Linked DNA regions of Ovis aries. The protein of the gene in region 1 binds, or shares a complex with, the protein of each later gene. Links are inferred from orthologs where the notes say so. Each region holds a gene or a part of one and is shown on either strand. Other genes may lie near its edges.

What was found.
Region 2: BDP1 (region 1) and BRF2 share a complex: the UniProt entries of both Homo sapiens proteins name them as parts of the TFIIIB complex. The link is inferred for Ovis aries from reciprocal best matches to the Homo sapiens genes BDP1 and BRF2.

Annotation. Positions count from the first base shown.
Region 1 is NC_056069.1:10,198,081-10,201,897, forward strand, and holds part of BDP1 (transcription factor TFIIIB component B'' homolog), read right to left. Parts: intron 3,108-3,817; coding exon 2,979-3,107; intron 1,860-2,978; coding exon 1,726-1,859; intron 418-1,725; coding exon 323-417; intron 1-322. UniProt on the Homo sapiens protein: General activator of RNA polymerase III transcription. Requires for transcription from all three types of polymerase III promoters. Requires for transcription of genes with internal promoter elements and with promoter elements upstream of the initiation site.
Region 2 is NC_056079.1:32,198,828-32,203,417, forward strand, and holds the start of BRF2 (transcription factor IIIB 50 kDa subunit), read right to left. Parts: upstream 3,048-4,590; 5' UTR 2,988-3,047; coding exon 2,834-2,987; intron 2,144-2,833; coding exon 2,084-2,143; intron 1,197-2,083; coding exon 875-1,196; intron 67-874; coding exon 1-66. UniProt on the Homo sapiens protein: General activator of RNA polymerase III transcription. Factor exclusively required for RNA polymerase III transcription of genes with promoter elements upstream of the initiation sites.

The DNA.
Region 1 (3,817 bases):
TCCTTAACCCCAGCATTCTGGTACATTTATTCCTCTTCATTATCTAACTCTACTTTTACCTCAGTTTCACTGGCTTTGTTGGTACACCCTCAAATCCATTATAGAAGTGGAAAGATATAAACAAGAACACATAATACTGAGGGTTAAAGAGACAATACTCATTTTAGGACTGGGAAATATACTACACTACTTTTTGAATGATAAAGGACAGATGTACCAGAAACAGTAGTAAAAAAGGATGGACTGAGATTTCAACCAAAGGTTTAAAAGACAGTAATTTTTAATCTCTTTTCAATCAACAAATGTAATGGGTTTACTTTACCTTAATTTCTATTCTTGCTCTGTGAGGAAAAAGCTGTCCAATCATAGAAAAGTCAGTTCCTACCATGCTGATGGCTAAAAAAAACATATCTGTCTCTGTAAAAATAAAAGATTTAGAAAGATGGAGAATTAATCTTATAAATATTTCAGAGGAAAAAATCTTACATAAGTATATAAAGGTGTTAAGTCGCTCAGTCGTGTTTGACTTTTTGCAACCCCATGGACTGTAGCACACCAAGCTCCTCTGTCCATGGGATTTCCCAGGCAAGAATACTGGAGTGGGTTGCAATTTCCTTCTCCGGGATCCTCCCGACCCTGGGATCAAACCTGGGTCTCCTGCATTGCAGGCAGACTTTTTTACCATCTGAGCCACCGGGGAAGCCCTACGTAAGTATATATTTTGAGTTAAAAGTAAATTTGACAATACTGAAGTTTCTTATTAAAATCCATCAAATCTTTAATCACAGAAATATACCTATGAACACATACACAGAAATAGTTCAATTTTACTGCAAGAAGCCTCATGGATCTAAAAACACCTTCTTTAAACTTTTATATAAAAATATGGTTTAAGAAATTTGCATGTTCATACTAAAGTAGCTGGAATTTCTGAAAAGGCATTCTGCCTATCTGGTCTCAAGTGCCTTGAAGAAAACTTTCAGTCAGAACTAGCATATTAAAAAAAAAAAAAAAAAGAACCAGTATATTGCTGGTATGTAAGCAACTAAGATGTGTACATGAAAGGAAAGTAAGGGAGGTGGGAGGGGGGTTCATGTTTGGGAACGCATGTAAGAATTAAAGATTTTAAAATTTAAAAAAAAAAAAAAAGTTAAAAAAAAAAAAAAGAAAGGAAAGTAGCCAGAAAAATACTCAAGAACAGAACTAGCCTCAAGAGAACAGGACTGGGGAAGTCAGAAATTCATTCTGTATTACTCTGTTGTGTCTGAATTTTTTCCCAAAACAAACTGTATTATTTTTACAATAAAAATTAAGTAAAACAAACAACATGCAGTAGGTAATATATACTTTTTTACATGTACTTTTTATCATTAAAGACTGTATTATACAATAGTGAGGTAGAATATTATTATGAGCATTAAAAATATTGGTAATTTTTCATTAAAATGATATTTGCTGCACAAGGATTTGACAATGAAGAATATTCCACCTGAAATGATCATAAGGCTAACCCCTAAAAAGATGTCTAAGATAAAGTCAGAGGCATAGTTCTATGGTGGGAGACAGGGGAAAGGTGCCAATAAAATTAGCTAGAGAAAAAAACTAGCTGGTTTGCATTTTATTTTTTTTTACTCAGGGGATACCTGGTATAACACAGAAACCAAGAAACAAATTCACTTCATTTCCAATAAATAATCTACATAGTTTAAAATGAAAATCAGTTACCTTTATTTGACCATGGTTTAGAGTAGTAGCTTTTCCTAAAGCTGGAATATGTAGTTGTAGAACCACGCTCAAATATGGGGTCATTTTCCTCAACAACACAGGGACCTTTTGTCCTTAAAACTTCTACAGTTAAACTGAAAGAAACATTTTTAAATAGATCCACACTAAACATGCAAGGAAACAAACAGTAAATGAGATTTAATAGTTATATTCTGAAATTTACCATGCCAAAAACCACATCAAAAGTATAACACAAAAAAACAAAAAAGTAATATACATTTGAAGTATGCATATTTTCTAAGAATCTGCCAATTTTCATTTAAAATGTGATTGCTAGGGAGCAAAAATTAATGCCAACCTGATTTCAAAATCCTTAGCAGCAATATAAATCTGTAAAATATCTCTGGGCCAACTAAATAACTGTTTTTTACTGACTTCTGTATGTCTCCTACATTTAACATATCTTATCATGCAATACCCAATAGGGGATACTGAGAAATATAAACACTTTATATTTACATTTTATATTCCTCCACACAAAGCAGTTAAATATGCTTTTAACAATTTAATAAAATCATCATCACAAAATAGTGGAAAACAACATGCATAAACAGCTATTATTAACAGCATTATATTTTCATTTATCATAGAATTTATATCCTGTAAAACAATTATTAATTAAACTGTAAGGAGACTTCCATCCCTCTTTTTTTTTTTTCCCTAACTAGTTTATCTTCTTTTTTTAAGAAACACACATTGAAAAGAGAAGTAAGTTTCATACTGCCAAATTTGAGAAATTTAATGTTATAACTAAGAAATTAAACCAGAAAGTTAATTAAAAACCAAAAAATATGTTTCACTGAATTTTCAACAGTTAACACCACAACCAGAATATGGTAATAGTTAATAAGTACTGACATCAAGGCCGAATTAATCATTGAAATGTATTCTTAGTTGCGGACAGCGTGTGATTAGTTCAATAGCTCATTTCAACTACCAGTAAAATTAGTAAAACAATGGTAGTAGATAAGTGGGTGGCAGGTCAGCAGTACCATCTTCTCATATAAAGGACACAATTATAAAAAATTGCTAAAAATTATAAACAAATATAACCCACCCTTCTATTTATAACATCTATTACGCAAAAATAAACGTCAGTCAACGTGACAGTGTGAAATACAGAAACTCAATCTTGCTCATTAGACAAAACTCATTTGTTCTCAAAACCACAATCTCTCTCTCTCTTAACTTACCTTTCTTCATCCAAAATAATAGACCCATCTTCTGCCACTTTTACTCGAGGAACCAGCAAGGGCCCATCATCCAACTCTTCTTCTACTTCGTCGTTATCTTCACCATCAGGAGTAGTCTTGCTTTCTTGCCTACCGAATGCCAAGGTAGGTTAGTTCATACAGCCATCAGAAACATCCCCTGAATACTATGAACTTCTAAAACAAACTATTGCACCTTCAACCTTCTGTTAATAGCTATTTCCCACTTTCACTATAACCTCACTGAAAATACTATGTGTTATTGAGACCATGGCTATAAGATTTCCTCAAATCTAGTAGCATTTCACAGAAGTCTTTACTCTCTTTGAAACGATAAATAAATGCTCATCTATTCTGTCTCAACCGAGCACTGGAGTAAACCATACAGATATTATAAAATTAATAAAAAATAAGGCATACAGAATTAATTTCCAGATCATTTTATTACCTCTTCAGAACAATCCTTGGGGGTTAGATTTTCACACCCATTTGATGTTTGGAGACGATAAATTACTGTTGCTCTAGACTACACAACAATCAGAGTAGACCAAGAAGCCAAACACAGTATCCCAGATAACGGTTCCAAATTTCATACACTTTCCATTCAATTAGATTATCACTTTAAGGTCTTACTGAAAGAAGCATAACCTATAAACCTGTAAAAACAAAGCCTATTTCTGGACCTCCCGACAGTGGATAAGAATCCACCTGCCAATGCAAAGGACAGGAGTTCAATCTCTAGTCCAGGAAGACTCCACATGTCCCAGAGTAGCTAAGCCCACGAGCCCCAACTACTAAGCCTGCATGCTGCAACTACTGAA
Region 2 (4,590 bases), on another chromosome or scaffold:
AGCATCTTCTCTTTGTCTTCCACGTACTTGGCTGGCACAGATGGGGAGGCTTCAAACAGCTTGAAGCTGAAATAACCAAAATGAGGGTCTGGTCTCAGTACCTCAGGGAGACAGCTCTTCCAAAGCGCAGAAGATAGGCAAGCTATGCTAGTCTTTCGGGAACACACAAGCCTGCTGGGTAGCAACTTTATTCAGGTACCAAGAGAAGTCAGGGAGAGTCTCCTGCAGGAGAGGCGAAGGGCGAGAGAGTGCGGAAGGGCACTAATGTCTACCGACAACCCCGCCCGCCCCCAGCATCAGCCCTCATTCTGAGTGAGTGCTTTACAAGATGTTCTCTAATCTACTCAACAGCCTGTTATGTACATTTAAGAGTCGAAAAACTTGCCCACAGTCATCCAGCGTAGAAGTGACCAAGCTTCAAACTCAAGGTCATTCGACACTGACTGCCTTTGCTTTCTACCATATTTGTCAGAACAAAAAGAAAAGAACACAGCTACTTATTAAATAAAAAAATTACCTTCTAACTCCAGCTCTGTCAGTTTGCTCATACTCTTTCAGCTCTAATCACACACAACGTGATCCTGCTGAGGCAGGGCTGTGGCATCTAGTCAAGCAGGCCTGAGTGGTAGAACCCAGAAGCCCCGTGCCAAAGCTGATACTTAACCCTCCTACAGCATCAGGCTGCTATGACAGCGAAGGGGTTTGAAAATGATTCAACATTCTAGAAACGTAAAATGGGATTCACCCGACCAGCGCCAGGCATAGGAGGAGAAGTCCATCCTCGTAGAATGGACTTGCTCAAAAAGAGACAGCTGGAAGTAAAAGGATTCGGGTCTGAACCCATGCCACCCCCGTGTCTCCCCCAGGCAGGTACCTGCTACAGTAGGTCTTTACTAGATCCACCAAGCACAGAGATGGCACATCCAGCCCCAGGAGCTTCACTATCTGCATGTAGGTTCCAGAAAACACATCCAGATCTGCATACAGCAGGGTGCAGATGGTCCCCATGGTCAGGGGCCAGTTACGCTGCCGGCAGGTGATTAGGACGCAGCAACCAGCCAGCACCTCCTTCTTCTGCAGCCTGGCTGTGCGGATGCCAGCGAGCTGGTGTGCCTGTTGGTAGTAGGCAACTGCCATGTCCTCAAATGTTGGTGGCAGCTGCAGCACTCGACAGAGGTCTCTCACTCGGCGAAGACCTAGGAAAACCCACGGCAGGAGTTAGAGGCATTTCCAACAATATGTTAACAGGATCAGACAACTGGATTGAGTGGGGTTTATCCCAGGGATGCAAAGATCAGTGTGATACACCACATGAACAAACTGAGAATAAGCCTGATCATTTCAATAGATGCAGAACAAGTTTTTGATAAAATGCAACATCCATTTACAATAATAATAATATCTCCAGAATGTGGGTCTAGAGGGAACAACATATAATAAATGTCATATACGACAAACTCACAGCAACATCATACTCAATGGTGAAAAGCTGAAAGCATTTCCTATAAGATTAAGAACAAGACAAAGATGCCCACACTCGTCACTTTTATTCAACATAGCTTTGGAAGGTCTAGCCATAGCAAACAGAGAGGAAAACTAAAAGGAATCTAAATTAGAAAGAAGTAAAAATGTCACTTCATATCATGTTTGCAGATGACATGATACTATACGTGAAGGAGTCAAAGGAGCTCCCAGCAAGTTCTGTTAAACTCACCTCAGATACCACATGCACAAATAATGGACCTTTCTACAATGATAAGAGTGACACTTGGTAAGGCCATTTGAAAAGCACAAAGACATTTGTGGAAAGAAGTCAACACTTCAGTGCCTCATCTTTTGGAAGTTGGTTTGATTTGTGACCAAGCTTTGACCTGGGTTCCTCGAATCTACCTCAAACATACCCAAGCAGACTTAAACCTTCCACCTAATTGCTACCTCTCTTAGAACCACCTCAATCCTTTTACCATTCTCTTCTTCTCTACCTTTACATAATAATGCTGAAAACAGAAAAAACAAGCAGACGAGCTGGACCATAAGGAGAATTTTCTTTAAAGCCACTGTGTCATAAAAGGTTGATTCTCACCTCGTTGCTGGCTTCGACTAACTTGTTCGTTTTCCCCGGTGCTTCGAGAATATGTTACTTCTGTAAGACAATGGACAAAAAATAGCTTGTTTAGTCTCTATTCACGGACCCCTGCCCTCCCACCACACAAAACCAGGGAGCAGAATCCAAATCATCAGGTATCCGCTCCCCAGCTCACAGAAGGTGCTCATCTTTGCAGGTAAAACGTCCATCTGGTTTTCTATAACCACAAGCAGTACCAAATACACAGAAAGCTTTAGAAAATTAGGACTAGCATTAAAGCAGTTCCAAGTGTTCCAAATTTCCAGCCACCCCTCCTGTACATTCAATTCAGGCAATTTTCCTGCCTGTAGATTTTGAGGGCTGCACTGGTCAGGGACTTTGAACACAAATGAAAAAAAGAAAAATAAGTTTTTGCCAATTAATTTTCAAAACTGCTTTGGGGTAGTAGTAGTTTCCACATTCACACAACACTGACCTATTGATATAATGCTTCCAAATAGGCAAATTAGGTAAATTCAGTGGAACTTTGTTTCTCTCTGTTTCATTTACTACATGTAACAGATATGGTGCTAAGAAAACAGATAATGGCAGCCCCTGATCTGAAGTTCACTCGTTCACTTTCACTGTTTTCTCCCATATCTAAGTGTGCTCAAGACAGGGAGACGGCAAGAGATAAGAAGCATCTGACGTCAATCCCTCCATCGCCCCAGGCTGTATCCATGGCCTCCGAAAAGCCCTCACAGGTACCTCGAAGGTTGCCCTCGTCACTGAAGGTGGTCGTAAGAACGCCCTCGGTGACCACGCAGCCGCAGTCGGAGCACACCAGCTGGTTCTGGGAATAGTGCGAGTCTTCCACTAGCTCAGCGGAGCCGCAATCGGGACAGCGGCCTCCACCCGGCATCGCACAAGCGGTCCAGAGCCCAAGCAGCTAACCGACCCTACCGCCCACAACAGCAACTGTGCCGAAACAGGAAGTAGGAGCGGACTCTTGTAGGGTTGCACCTTCCTCTTCCGGCCAGCGTAACAGCCGTACTGTAGGTACCTTCTCCGCGGCTTCCGGTCCGTTCCTCTGCGGACTCGGGTAGAAACGTGATCGAGGAAAGGAGGTTCCTGGTCTGGACTGTCTCTTCGGATTCCCCGCGATCTGTACTTAGTTTGAGGTTGGCCGTCTAGGCTCGGGGTTACTCTTGAGTGAGCTTTCTATCGCTGTGGACGCACGTAACAAACAAAAAACTGTTGCCAGCCACAAACAATTCTTTCTAAAGCGCCAAGGGTATCGCCGACTCTCCTTTTTCTCAATTCAGTTCAGTTCAGTCGCTCAGTCGTGTCCGACTCTTTGCGACCCCATGAATTGCAGCACGCCATGCCTCCCTGTCCATCACCAACTCCCGGAGTTCACTCGGACTCACGTCTATCGAGTCAGTGATGCCATCCAGCCGTCTCATCCTCTGTCGTCCCCTTCTCCTCCTGCCCCCAATCCCTCCCAGCATCAGTCTTTTCCAATGAGTCAACTCTTCTCATGAGGTGGCCAAAGTACTGGAGTTTCAGCTTTAGCATCATTCCTTCCAAAGAAATCCCAGGCTGATCTCCTTTAGAATGGACTGGTTGGATCTCCTTGCAGTCCAAGGGACTCTCAAGAGTCTTCTCCAACACCACAGTTCAAAAGCATCAATTCTTCAGCGCTCAGCTTTCTTCACAGTCCAACTCTCACATCCATACATGACCACAGGAAAAACCATAGCCTTGACTAGACGGACCCTTAATAAATGTTGATTCTGGCCATAGTACAAAATTTGTGGCCTAAAAGGGAGAGTAGTGTATTGAGAGAGCAGGAAATTGTGTTCTTTCCAAAGCAGCTTCCCTACAAGCACGTTGTTTCCTCTCTTTGCAGAGTGACAACCTGGGAGGCTTCCAGAGACTAGGCAAGAAATGTCTAAGGGAGTTGGAGAGAAAAACTATGGAGGTTAGTGAGGCCCTTGGCAGTCTGAAGAATTTAAGCAAATTGAGATGTTTTTAAAACCTTAAGCTTTAAGATGCTCCAAGATTCTAGCTCCGAAGTTCCTGGCATGGTATAGTATAGATCAAAGAATCAAGCAAAAATGTGCCTCTAGTAATGTTCCAGAAACCAAGCTCACAAATGAGAGATTTTGTATGTCATGTTTGAATATAACATAAGTGTCAGCAAAGAGGATGTGTTTTCTCATAAGTAAATCCCAATTGCACTCATCAAGAATAAAGGTTTTCAGGAATTCCCTGGTAGCCTAGTAGTTAGGACTTTGTGCCTTCACTGCTGAGGGCCCAGGTTCAATCCCTGGTCAGGGAACTAAGATTCCACAAGCCATGTGGTGTGGCATAAATACATAAATAAATAAATGTTTTTTAACACTTGAAAGTTTTAGAATCAATTATGTTTGAAAAATAAGACAATTGAGTTAAAGTTACAAAGAACTGTGGCCAGTCCCTCTGACTCCAAGAAAACAGACGGGTGTTATTACAGCCCATGC